2 linked regions of the Daphnia pulex genome follow. The protein of the gene in region 1 binds, or shares a complex with, the protein of each later gene. Links are inferred from orthologs where the notes say so. Each region holds a gene or a part of one and is shown on either strand. Other genes may lie near its edges. The genes, in order: ragulator complex protein LAMTOR5 homolog and ragulator complex protein LAMTOR2-like.

The links.
Region 2: ragulator complex protein LAMTOR5 homolog (region 1) and ragulator complex protein LAMTOR2-like share a complex: the UniProt entries of both Homo sapiens proteins name them as parts of the ragulator complex. The link is inferred for Daphnia pulex from reciprocal best matches to the Homo sapiens genes LAMTOR5 and LAMTOR2.

Annotation. Positions count from the first base shown.
Region 1 is NC_060023.1:5,836,735-5,839,284, reverse strand, and holds ragulator complex protein LAMTOR5 homolog, read right to left. Parts: upstream 1,443-2,550; 5' UTR 1,262-1,442; coding exon 1,227-1,261; intron 1,163-1,226; coding exon 1,101-1,162; intron 1,030-1,100; coding exon 915-1,029; intron 838-914; coding exon 777-837; 3' UTR 765-776; downstream 1-764. Other genes in the region: trichoplein keratin filament-binding protein-like, read right to left, coding at 2,238-2,531. UniProt on the Homo sapiens protein: As part of the Ragulator complex it is involved in amino acid sensing and activation of mTORC1, a signaling complex promoting cell growth in response to growth factors, energy levels, and amino acids.
Region 2 is NC_060023.1:11,050,392-11,053,218, forward strand, and holds ragulator complex protein LAMTOR2-like, read left to right. Parts: upstream 1-1,398; 5' UTR 1,399-1,510; coding exon 1,511-1,578; intron 1,579-1,657; coding exon 1,658-1,693; intron 1,694-1,760; coding exon 1,761-1,887; intron 1,888-1,946; coding exon 1,947-2,093; 3' UTR 2,094-2,190; downstream 2,191-2,827. Other genes in the region: uracil-DNA glycosylase-like, read right to left, coding at 1-174, 272-360, 423-465, 539-689, 763-951, 1,014-1,142; BTB/POZ domain-containing protein KCTD5-like, read right to left, coding at 2,297-2,326, 2,386-2,505, 2,573-2,827. UniProt on the Homo sapiens protein: As part of the Ragulator complex it is involved in amino acid sensing and activation of mTORC1, a signaling complex promoting cell growth in response to growth factors, energy levels, and amino acids.

The sequences.
Region 1 (2,550 bases):
AGGCAAATCGATAAAGAAAGGAAGAAAAAAAGGAGCAAAAAAAACTAGCTTTTTACGTGTTTTGCTCTCCTAGTTTTTCAGGTCATCACTCTTTAGTTTTTATTTATTCTGTGGTACGGTAAGAATGGAGAAAAGTGATGCATCGTCCAAGAAGTCAACTTTTAAAAATTTTATTTTCATAATATTTCCCAGACTATTTCCCAGACAGGCGGAGTTCGGTCAGGCAATAATTAATCGTCTTGCGATTCTGCATTGGATATCTATTCTTTATTTCTCAACTCCCTTTCCAGATTCCTGAAAATGAACTATACGGATAAGGATCCCCCCCATAGGCTGGGATAACCGCGGATCGTTTATTTTTAAAAAACCTTGAAAAAAAAAAAAAAAAAGGCAATCTGTAAAAAAAAGCTACAGGTAATTAGGTATAGCGCAGTTAAAAATTTCTGCTGTTTACGACGTATACGCTCATGAAAATTTCTAGAATTTCTGATATGTACACAATGATATATTTTCACTTTTTCTTCCCATTGCATTAGGAAATTACTATTTGTAACACAAAATAGGCCCACATCTTTTAAAAAATAAACAGAAACAAACGAAATCGAGCACACCACTGCAGCTAAAGCACAAATTTTGAACCGAAGGCGTATACCAAAGGTTCTTATTTATTTTTTTTATCATGTGGCTTAAAGTTTGAATGCTAAGAAAAATAAAGAATATATGAGAACCTATTTGTATATCTACACAAAAACTTAGATTTCTCAGATTTTTTGCATTTATGTATTGGTTTTGTAGACGGCAAGAGTCATTCCCATATTCTGATGAATCAAACACTGACTGCAGAAACAGAAAAAGTTAAAAATAAATCAGCACTTAGAAAATAAAAATAACATAGAAAGACATTGTTACCATACCTTTCATGGTTTTCAAACAAAATGACAGGATCTCCTTTCCCAGGCTCTAATGTTGTTGCCAAATGTGACAGAGAAGTCAATGAGCCGGAGTAGTTTGAATTGGCAACACCTTGTGCTATATTATAAACAATGTGTTCATATTTATAAAAAAACAATTGTGTTTCAAAAAAGAAGCTTTTGTCTTACACGTTAAGCACATGCCCTGTCTGTCTGCACACAATACGCCCACTACTCCAGGCGAAGTCATCCTAAATCGACACAATTTTATGTTCCAATCGGTTTTTTAAATGTAACGATTTCTGATTTACTTACAATTCTTCAACACATTTTTGAACTTCTTTATCCATAATAGCAATGGTATTTTGTATAAACAGGAACTAACTGAAGGATATCAGAAACAGAAACCGACAGGCTAACAAAATCTTGTTGATTTATTTTGCTAGCACCTATTAACCATCTACAGTCTGCCACAGTAGAAAAGGAAGTGGAACTTGGGAAGCCTGTCAGAGACAGAGAGTCAAAACAATGTAGTCAAACTGACTCACCTCAAGGCCTGTCAACTGCAGCTGTTTATTGCAATTTCTGTTATTTCATTGTAAAACATTAGATTTGGATTTTTTAAAACGTAGAAAAAAAAACAATAATGTGAAAAGAAATTTAGTAGTATCTTATTAATTTATTATAACATTACTTTTTTTAGTTTTTTATTTTGGCCAGAATTTGGATGGTAGCGCTAGGTGGCAGGATTTAGCAGCTCGAATGATTTGGCATGGATGATTTGGTAAGACTTCTGAGGGTAGCGCGCAGCGCGTTAATAATTGATAGCAAACAGAGAAAAATTGGGATTCAGATTTAATTTGCTTTGGGAGACAAACCAGGGTAAAACATATCGCGATGTTGTGATACCGATACGGATTCACAAGGGAAAATTCCACTGTTTCTCCTTTGCAATGCGCGTTCCACGTTTACTGAACAAAAGCAGGAAGTATATCCATGTTATTTTGTAGAAATCTAATAATAGCTTCAATTATTTTTCATGAACAAATTTTTCTCTACTGTAATCCGCTACTTTCATCCAAATATAGCACTGATCGGGAGCAGAGGAATTCACGATTTAGACACTGACAATAAGAAATAAACTGGCATTCTGCGATCGCTCCATATATTTCCTGAAATACGAAAAAGTACGAAAAATAGCTGTGATAGAATGACATAAGCTGTAACTTAAAAATACACATTTTGTAAACATTTAAAAATTACGAGAAAATTAGAGCCGAGATATGAATCATTTTGATGACAAGAAATGTGCGTCAACTTTACGCTTTAAAGTCTCAATTTGTCCATGGCTATATTCCAATGTTTTTCGTTGTGAGCAGCTTCCATGAGCTCTTGGTGTTTGCGCTTCTGCCGTTCCAGATGATTAAACTCTTCTTCTCTTTGCTGTTTGTGATCAATTTGAGCCTGAAGATCTACTTTCGTTTGAAACTGTTTAGCTTTATTTTCCATTTCTTTCTTCTTTGCTTGATTATGATAGCTCTCGAGTGAATGAACCAGCTCTTCTCGATCGCGCAGCAGTTGCTGTCTTTCTTGTCGTGCAGCGATTATTTTTTGGTCAATCTAAATAAGCAACAAGAAC
Region 2 (2,827 bases), about 5.2 Mb from region 1:
CTACTACTAAAGCTTTCTTCTGGGCATATGCACCCCAAAGAAGGAAGACAACACCTTGGCAGTTACTGCTAATCCACTGGATCACGGCATCCGTCAGAGTTTCCCAGCCTTTGTCTTTGTGCGAATTTGCTGCGCCCGATCGGACCGTTAAGCCAGCGTTAAGAAGGAGCACACCTAAATATGTGAAATATCAATATAACAATTTTACGTGACTCTTATTTGAAGATTAAGACAAACGTTAAACTGTGATTGATTTTGTTTAAATGTCTACCTTGTTTGGCCCATCCAGTGAGATTACCATGTTTAGGAATATTAAAACCATCAATATCTGAAGCCAGCTCTTTAAAGATGTTTACCAAACTTCAAATAGTTTTGCAAAAATTAGACACAGTAGTTTTTAAAGTAAAAATTTTAAATATTACCTTGGGGGAGGAGGAACTCCTTTCAAAACACTGAAACACAAACCTTTTTATGAAACAAAAATGTAATGTCAATTCTTTATCTTAAAAGCCATAAAAGTAATTATTTTTTACTATACCATGAGCTTGACCAGGACCGTGATATGGATCTTGACCAATAATAACAACTTTGATATTTTGAATATCACAGAAATGGGTCCAAGACCACACAAGATGTTCTGGAGGGAAAATGGTGGACTTTGATCTTTCAGAACCCAGAAATTTACTAAGCTAAAAACAAAATAATGTAGGTAAATGAAAATAATTGTTATTCAAAGTTAAAAAAAAAGAAACATGTACATACTTCACCAAAGTAGGGTTTCTTAAACTCTGGCTCAATTGCTTGAAACCATGAATGACCAATACTATGGTGTAAGGCACAAGTATTCTTCGCTTGCAATTTTATTTTCGCTAACAAGTGGTTAGTGCCCATTCTTTCTTTTTTTTCAGGAGTAACTACTTCAGTCTTCTCACCAGATTTTTCTCCAACAGGCTAAAAATGAATAGACTTTACAAAAAATACCAGGCATGTATACACAGAACAAAAAAACCTACTTTGTTTTCAATTTGAACATTCTTGGCTTCAGCTGTCTTATTGCCAGACACAAGTTCTGAGAATGTACGCTTCACACCTCCACTTTGAAGAGGTTTAAAAAAATGAGTCAAAGGTTTTTGAGGCGGCATGATTTCTGACTTCAAGAAGCAACTTTAGTTCATTGTAATCATGATTGTAATTAAACACCAAAGTCAAAATAATCGGGCGCGAAATTCACCTTTGGACCAATCTGAAATGAATACATTAAGGCCACCTACAGCAGAAGAATTTGACAAGATTGAGTGAGAAAAAATTCCCTGGTCAACGGAAGGGGCGCTGCCGCTGCCGCTGCCTGAAGAAGAGATTGTCAGCCTGGCCTGGTTATGTAGGAAACATCCGCATTCATTTGTTTTTTTTTTTTTTAGTAAGAGACTAAGAGGAGTAGTGAACACTGAACAGCTGTACTCAGCCCTGACTCAGCTTGTGTCAAAACAGAAGATACCAACAAATCTAAAGAATGTTAAAACCAAAAGCTCTTACTCAAGTCTTGTCTCAAGCAAACACTGGCGGAATCTTAAGCACTTTGTAATATGGCGTGATACCTTAAAATAGTTAACGATTGTTAGTTATTTTTATTTATTTATTATCTTAATTTGTTATGCAGGCTTTTAAATACGGAGGGGGCGTTGCTAGCTTACAGGTGAGCAAAATGTGTTAAAATGTTTTACATTTGTTTATAGTGTTTAAACAATTTTGTGGCTTTCAAGTGGTTATGGGGACAAGGATGCACGAGTGACAGCAGCGATAGCTAGCAACATTTGGTCAGCATATGCTAAAAATGGGAAAGTTGCCTTCAATGAAGATGTCCTGGAATGTGTTCTTCTTGATTGCATGGTATTATTCAATTTAAAGTTTAGTAAACACAAATATTAATTTTGCCAATGCCTTTAAAGGATGGGAAAGTGGTGATTGCCCAAGTTGCTAATTTACTTCTATGTCTCTATGCTAAAGAAAATGTGTGTTTTGGAATGCTTCATGCTAAAGCAAAGGCATTGGCAGACTATCTTGATTCTCCTCTTCGTCAAGTAGCAGCATCATGAACATTTTTTTATAATACAAATTTGGATCTCCTAAAATTTAATGAAGCTGTGAAGCAGAGTTGTATTGCACTTGTGAATAAAAAGCAACACTTGTGAACAAGAAGTGTCAAAATGGCTGCAACGTGGATAAAATCCCACAAGGCTGGTTCTCTGCATAAATTTAGTTCAGTATTTGGTTCCTGGTACAAAAATCCCATAGCTTATTACATTCTTAACCCTTTCTGCTGAAGCACCTAAATAAAGAAACAACATTTTTAAATGCTTCCATCAATAGTAAATTGCAGATACTTACTTTGGCTCTATCAGTAGGCTCTGTTTCTCTTTCTCTCTTGTCACACTCTCTTGATACAACACACAGGAATTCTGAATGGTCTTCATTCCCATAAGAGTACTGTGACCCAACATTTATTAGCTATATAAAAAAAAGATTAGAATAAATAGTCTGTAGTAACTAATAAGATTGTCTTGTGTGTACACACCTGCTCAAATTTCCATCCATCAGACATAGTTGAAACCATTTGAGTTAATTCATCCTCATGACACTGTAATACACGGTAAACTTGCTTCCTACTTTCCTTCTGTGGTACCTCATCTCTTAGTCTTATTTTATCTCTAATTAACTGGATGAGTTCAGTAATATTATAGAATTCAGCTTCCTCTAGGATTCCTTCTTCAGCCAAGTTTTTATCAATAACTAGTTTGCTATGTCTCAAGAAGTTTAATATTGGTGAAAA